Saccharomyces cerevisiae S288C: one gene and its partner. The main gene of each other region encodes a partner of the protein of the gene in region 2 in a complex. Each region holds a gene or a part of one and is shown on either strand. Other genes may lie near its edges. A codon is read from its position in the direction of its gene.

Region 1 (2,618 bases), on a different chromosome or scaffold from region 2:
ATTTTCCAAGCTTTATAATATTGCTTTCTTTCCATAAACCAATCGAAATGATCCTTCAATGATAACTCTTGAACCCTGATGGCATCGTTGGAACTTATCAAATAGTATTCTGGTGTTGTTTTATCTATATGTTTACCGAGGTGATAATCATTTATAGACAATTTTTCATAGTTTTTCATGATAACTTCATCATTATAGATTTCATCACCATTAAAAAGATCAACAATTTTTAATTCTGGAGCATTCCCTTTGGCTAATAAGTTTTCTGGCCGCTTGCTAAAATTCTTCCCCTCCTTCATATCTTCATCTATGGTTGCTTCCTCTTCAATATCTATATCAAAACCTAGGCATAATAACTGATCATCCTTAAACGATGCAAGCCCTGTAATCAACATTGACACAGTAAAATGGCATTCTAATTCAACTTTCTTATCAGGTGTCCCTCTAAAACTCGATGCAGCACTAGACAAGAGAGATCCGATGTTTGTCGTAGGGTTAAAATGACTCATATTATTACTTTGAGAATTAGAGTCACCGGATTTGATCGAATTTGAATCCTTGGTAAAGGAAACTTTAAATAGCCAAATATTAGATCCCCATCCGATAACGACACGATCACTTTCTAAAAAATGAACATGGGGTCTAAATAGATCTGGCCTTACATCCTGTACGTTAAAAATTCTGGAGGGGAATGGAATATTCAAAAGCTGTGATCTTGTAGGAACATCGCAAAATGTTATTCCATCATCATCCATCCATAATATAAGGTCACCCATAGTATAAATTCCCATGATAGGGCCCTTCATATCAGAGGATAGGTCATCTTTTCTTGTTTTTTTCTTTTTCTTCTTGTTTAAAACGATGTCGATTCTATTTCCTAGCCAATTTCTCTGAGATAGTACAACGTCGCCAGCCATTCCACCAGAAACAAACATTCTGGATGCTTGAAAATTTGAGTGCAACGCTACAGAGTTTATAGGTCTTTTGAAATCGTATTGTGTAATGTTTTGTGGATCATCCATCGATCCGATAATCACTGTCCCGTCAATAGATCCCGTAGCAAAATATTTTCCGTCAGTGTTAATACAAAGTATCGAAGATCTATGGCATTTGATGGTTTTAATGGGTTCGAACGCGCATGTAGTTAAGTGTAGAATGCCTGAGTGTGTACCAAATGCAAAAAAAGTATCACCAAATAAACATGAAGAGATCGAGTCTCGTTGAAAAAAGTTCTTCGGGAGTTGACTAATTCGTGTGTACTTCAATAAGGGGGGCTCATCTTCGTCATCCTCATCTTCATCATCGTCATCATCATCATCATCATCATCATCACCTGTTTCTGCATCCGTCGCACTTCCTGTTATTGTACTCTCATCTGTTCGAGAAGCTACTCCATTTTCCGCTTGTGATATGCAACTAACACTTTTTGTTGGTGAAGTTACATTAACGTCTTCCCTCTTATTATCAACATTATTCTCGTCAGAGATGGAATTACTCTCATCAATTGTTCGTTCGCCTGATTGTTGATCCAAAACAGAATCATTCTGATGATTATCTGTAGTCATTAATGTCTAATAGTAGGTATATACTCTTCGTTAAAATGCTTTTTTATTTTGCATATATATTTTACAACAGTCTCAATAGCCCTTTTAATTTTTCTTTTGTATCGTATTATTGAAAAAAGACGAGCAAACTGCAGTAAGATAGAAGTGTACTCCCAATAGAGACAAAGCCAAGATACTTTTGTAAAAGAACGAAAAAATGGCTAGAGCAAGAAAGGGTGCACTGGTTCAATGTGATCCATCCATCAAGGCGCTCATATTACAAATTGACGCCAAGATGAGTGATATAGTACTAGAGGAGTTGGATGACACCCATCTTTTAGTAAATCCCTCGAAAGTCGAATTTGTTAAGCATGAGCTAAATAGGCTATTATCTAAGAATATATATAATCCTATGGATGAAGAAGAAAATCAGTAATTATTGCTCATTCAGCTTTTTCAATACTATTTGAATAGAGCATGACCTGCATAACCAGGTCAGACATGAATATAGAGGGGAAGTGATGATCTAGTGGAAATACGACTATACAGGTATGTACATGTTAGAATAATAAATATAAGGAAGAAAAAGTGGTCAGGTGCAAGTATACATCTTTAACCGTTTTCTTTTCTCATCCTTTTTTGAGAGCCAAATCCCGTTTAATTTTTTCTTTTTCCTCCTCAAGGTCTAAACCAAACTCCTCTTGTATCTTTTTCTCCAACCTAAGCCTTTTCTCTAAACGTTCTTTTTTCATCCTTGCCAGTTCAGCTTTAATCTCATAAGGCTCTTTTGGTATTTGGTTCAACGTTGCAGGATCTGGCCAAAACCCTGGAACATTTAATTTTTTATCAGTATCTGTACCAATATAGTACATTACAGCAACAGGTGCTAGCAAACAAAATGAAAATCTAAAGATCTCCAGTTGCGCCCTTGTATATTTAAACTTGAAGTTATTAAATAGACCCATTTTGTACTTGTCGAAGTGATTACTTTTGTTTGTCAGCCCTTATTAAATTGTTATAGAACAGAAAATATCAGCAAGATGCGCTGATATATTGGAATTATACGGGAAAAAA
Region 2 (4,483 bases):
TGTTCTGAATCTCCCCTAATCGCCTCAGCCTCTCCTTCGGTATTTGAGGCCCACAATTATCTGCGGCTTCGATGCCCTTGTTGCTGATGACATTTTCATTCGTTGCAGTGATAATTGAATTATTTGAAAGTAGCAAATTTCTTTGGGTTAAACTAAGACCTTCTAAAGATGGGTCTAGTTGCAGGGGTAAGTGACATGTTTGGCACTTCATTTTAATGCCCGTGTCTGGGAGTCTTTGCGAAAACAGTGACTGCCATAAAACGTAACTGAACTACCTAATGTGCTCCCATAGCACTACCCTTTTACTTCTATGAGAGCAAAATCCCCAGGCGGGTGACACTTAAGTACTACTAATGAAGGTAAAAGGACTATGTAATTCGATTATACCACCAGTCCATACTTCCCGATAGTTGATTTAAAATACACCTGGTTCGAACTATTTCTCTCTTAGTTGACACTTTATATACCAACTTTCTATATGAAAGTGATCATTTTACTATAGGATTAGCCGCGGAAAAAGTATTAGCCGCCCAAACTTCTATGTACCTTCCGCATAAATAGGAAAGAAAACAAGAAACTTGAACTTAAAATACTTCCACATCACAAGTATACTTTCCAGGAAAAGCACCAAATTACAGTTATCTAATAGTAATGCACAATCAGGAAGAGTGGCTAGACAAGGACAAAACTTTGGTGAACGAAGAAGAAAATACTTGCATCAACCATTCTTATACAAAAAAGGACACTAATAACTATCGGGTCGGTAAAAGCGGTATTAAGGACTTGAAGAAGCCTACGAACCAGAAGGAAATTGCGATAAAAAATAGGGAGTTAACGAAACAACTTACTCTTCTCAGGCAAGAAAATAATCACTTACAGCAGGCTTGTAAAATTCTCAGCGAAAACAAGATCATTGAGAACAGAAAATCCATAGAAAAATGGAGGACAATTTGTGAGATGGAACTGTCTTTTATTTTAAATTCCACTTTAATCAAAATCAATAGAATGGGCGGCTATAAAGATTTTCTAGAAAAAGAAATGGAGGCTAAAAAGAGAAGATTGGAATATCAGATTGACAACGGTATGGAAGATCAAATCTGTGAAATAAAGGAAAGTGATGACTTTAGACAACTTTCAGAAGTTGAGAAACAAGAGTGGGAGAGTCAAATGAATGAACAGCTGAAAGAGTTGGAAAAAAAAAAAATAGCGGAGCTGGAAAAATTGAATAAGGTGCTGCATGATAGCGAAGGGAAAGATTTTGGAATGGCTGAACTATGCACTAGGTTAAAACTTGACTACAGCTTAATCTTTCCACAATGAAAAATGCGTAAAACGTTTATTCATCTTGCATTTCTATTAGGTACGCGATTACTGAAAAAACGAATGTATTTTTTTGTTGTAGCGCAAATTACGCACCATCATATATTCACATATAACCTAACTTCATCGTCAGAATACAATACTAGTAACTTAGCATTAAAAGCCACCATCAAAGGGAAGAAGTGAACAATATAATGAGTGACTATTCCCTGAAGCATTCGGTCACTCAGTATTTGGAAGAAATTCCTCAACAAGTTCAAAATAGGCTTTATACCTCACCAGCTACATGTCTGGCTATCTATAGAATTTTACCACCACTAGCTAAATTTTTTATCATGGCAATGGTTTTCAACGAAAATGAAGTACCTTTGTTGGATTTAGATAAATGGGTTAACTCTAATGGTAAATTGCAGTTTCAGAATGCAATCAAATCGATGAAGTCTTTGCATCTTCTTATACCAAATAAATCATCTGGTACTTTGATGATCAACCTAAACCCAACATTCAAAATCAGCCTGAGGAACGCATTAACGGGTGGGGAAGTTCAAAACTCATTCGGTGTGGTTGTAGAGGAAAACGTAGTTAGCCTGGACTTGTTGGATGAATATTCAGCTAATAAATGGGAAACAATATTACATTTCATGGTTGGCACTCCCCTCGCTAAAATCCCATCTGAAAAAGTACTGAACCTTTTAAAACACAGTAAACTAATGGAAGAGGTAAACTCTACTGGAGAGTTCAAAATCACTAATGAAGGCTTCCAATTTCTTTTACAAGAAATCAACTCCCAATTATGGACATTATTATTGCAATATTTAAAAATGATCGAAACGTCCAAAATGGATTTAGTCGATGTTTTACATTTTATTTTCATGTTAGGCGCATTGGAAGTTGGCAAAGCCTATAAAATCGATGCATTAAGCGAAACACAAAGAATTATGTTACAAGATATGCGAGACTATGGTTTGGTATTCCAGAAGCATTCAAATGATAGCATTTTTTATCCAACAAAATTAGCTTTGATGCTGACTTCCGATACCAAGACAATCAGATCTGCCTCCAATGCGATGGATAGTGTACTGAGACAGAATAGAGAAGAGCCGTCAGTAAATGAAGACGGCGCCAACGGGAAATCCACAACAGATATCACTACATCAGATGATTTGAACAAAGCAGGTCTAAAAAATCAAGATATACCCGATGGCTCATTGATTGTAGAAACAAATTTCAAAATCTATTCATATTCTAATTCACCTCTGCAAATTGCTGTTTTGTCTCTTTTTGTTCATTTAAAGGCAAGATTTGTGAATATGGTATTGGGTCAAATAACAAGGGAATCCATAAGAAGAGCATTGACCAATGGTATCACTGCCGACCAAATCATTGCCTATCTGGAGACACATGCACATCCTCAAATGAGAAGGTTGGCAGAAGAGAAACTAGAAAAAAAATTAGAGCTGGACCCCAACTGTAAGGAGCCTTTACAAGTTTTGCCTCCTACCGTCGTAGATCAAATCAGATTATGGCAATTAGAGTTAGATAGAGTCATTACATATGAAGGTTCCTTATATTCTGATTTTGAGACTAGTCAAGAATACAACTTACTAAGTAAGTACGCTCAAGATATCGGTGTTTTGTTGTGGAAAGACGACAAAAAGAAGAAATTTTTCATCTCAAAGGAAGGTAATTCTCAAGTACTTGATTTCGCTAAAAGAAAGTTGAAAAAGAAACAATAAGTATATATACATATATATGCCCCTACATATCAATGCATTCAACGTAACAATTGCGCTAACACACGCGTCTTTCTTGCGCAGTAATTGTTTTCCTTTTTCATTCTTTCTTCTTTTGCATCTCTATCAACAAAATTTCGGTATCTAAGCTTTTCCTAAAATATCCCTTAAATGCAAACCTATCGAAAAGTAGGGGAACTACCGAATTTATAATTAACGCTTCAACTTTCGACCTATTGCAAGGCCAACTATTTAAGATATTTCAAACTAAAGTACTGTGTCAATGTTACTGAAAAACTTACACAGTCTCTTACAACTACCAATTTTTTCGAATGGAGCAGATAAGGGTATAGAACCAAACTGCCCTATAAACATTCCATTATCATGTTCCAATAAAACTGATATAGACAACTCGTGTTGTTTTGAATATCCAGGTGGAATATTTTTACAAACCCAATTCTGGAATTACTTTCCAAGCAAAAACGATTTAAATGAAACTGAATTAGTGAAGGAGTTAGGGCCTCTAGATTCATTTACAATTCACGGATTATGGCCAGATAATTGTCATGGTGGCTACCAACAATTCTGTAATAGGTCCTTACAAATTGACGATGTTTACTACTTATTGCATGACAAGAAATTTAATAATAATGATACATCCCTGCAAATATCGGGCGAAAAGCTGCTTGAATACCTAGACTTATATTGGAAGAGTAATAACGGGAATCATGAGTCCTTATGGATACACGAGTTTAATAAACATGGCACGTGCATTAGCACAATTAGACCAGAGTGCTATACTGAGTGGGGTGCTAATAGTGTTGACAGAAAAAGAGCGGTCTATGATTATTTTAGAATAACTTATAATCTATTCAAGAAATTGGACACATTTTCAACACTAGAAAAAAATAATATTGTCCCAAGTGTGGACAATTCCTATTCTTTGGAGCAGATAGAGGCAGCACTAAGTAAAGAGTTTGAAGGAAAAAAAGTCTTCATAGGCTGTGATAGACATAATTCCTTAAACGAAGTATGGTATTATAACCACTTGAAGGGTTCCCTTTTGAGCGAAATGTTTGTGCCCATGGACTCACTTGCCATTCGAACAAATTGTAAAAAAGATGGTATTAAGTTTTTTCCAAAAGGTTATGTCCCAACTTTCAGGAGGAGACCTAATAAGGGAGCAAGATACAGAGGAGTCGTTCGTCTATCAAATATTAATAATGGAGATCAGATGCAAGGCTTTCTAATCAAGAATGGACACTGGATGAGTCAAGGTACACCAGCGAATTACGAGTTGATTAAATCTCCCTATGGGAATTACTACTTGAGAACTAACCAAGGGTTTTGTGACATTATTTCGTCTTCATCTAATGAATTGGTCTGCAAATTCAGGAACATTAAGGATGCAGGTCAATTCGATTTTGATC

What was found. Proteins that work in one complex are often made in the same cells at the same time.
Region 1: the proteins of TFB2 (region 2) and TFB5 are in contact, whole or in part, in a crystal structure (PDB 3DGP), measured with the Saccharomyces cerevisiae proteins. Residues at the interface, in NP_015203.1 of Saccharomyces cerevisiae: Glu447 (codon at 2,853), Leu448 (codon at 2,856), Arg450 (codon at 2,862), Val451 (codon at 2,865), Ile452 (codon at 2,868), Thr453 (codon at 2,871), Tyr454 (codon at 2,874), Glu455 (codon at 2,877), Gly456 (codon at 2,880), Ser457 (codon at 2,883), Leu458 (codon at 2,886), Tyr459 (codon at 2,889), Ser460 (codon at 2,892), Asp461 (codon at 2,895), Phe462 (codon at 2,898), Glu467 (codon at 2,913), Leu482 (codon at 2,958), Trp483 (codon at 2,961), Asp485 (codon at 2,967), Lys488 (codon at 2,976), Lys490 (codon at 2,982), Phe492 (codon at 2,988); in NP_076886.3 of Saccharomyces cerevisiae: Ala2 (codon at 1,765), Arg3 (codon at 1,768), Ala4 (codon at 1,771), Arg5 (codon at 1,774), Lys6 (codon at 1,777), Gly7 (codon at 1,780), Ala8 (codon at 1,783), Leu9 (codon at 1,786), Val10 (codon at 1,789), Gln11 (codon at 1,792), Cys12 (codon at 1,795), Asp13 (codon at 1,798), Ile16 (codon at 1,807), Glu33 (codon at 1,858), Glu34 (codon at 1,861), Leu35 (codon at 1,864), Asp36 (codon at 1,867), His39 (codon at 1,876), Leu41 (codon at 1,882), Val47 (codon at 1,900), Lys51 (codon at 1,912), Leu54 (codon at 1,921), Asn55 (codon at 1,924), Leu58 (codon at 1,933).

The regions. Positions count from the first base shown.
Region 1 is NC_001136.10:602,955-605,572, reverse strand, and holds TFB5 (TFIIH complex subunit TFB5), read left to right. Parts: upstream 1-1,761; coding exon 1,762-1,980; downstream 1,981-2,618. Other genes in the region: VPS41 (Vps41p), read right to left, coding at 1-1,565; PET100 (Pet100p), read right to left, coding at 2,174-2,509. UniProt on the Saccharomyces cerevisiae protein: Component of the general transcription and DNA repair factor IIH (TFIIH) core complex, which is involved in general and transcription-coupled nucleotide excision repair (NER) of damaged DNA and, when complexed to TFIIK, in RNA transcription by RNA polymerase II.
Region 2 is NC_001148.4:317,799-322,281, reverse strand, and holds TFB2 (TFIIH/NER complex subunit TFB2), read left to right. Parts: upstream 1-1,514; coding exon 1,515-3,056; downstream 3,057-4,483. Other genes in the region: VPS30 (beclin 1), read right to left, coding at 1-211; MEI5 (Mei5p), read left to right, coding at 652-1,320; RNY1 (ribonuclease T2), read left to right, coding at 3,337-4,483. UniProt on the Saccharomyces cerevisiae protein: Component of the general transcription and DNA repair factor IIH (TFIIH) core complex, which is involved in general and transcription-coupled nucleotide excision repair (NER) of damaged DNA and, when complexed to TFIIK, in RNA transcription by RNA polymerase II.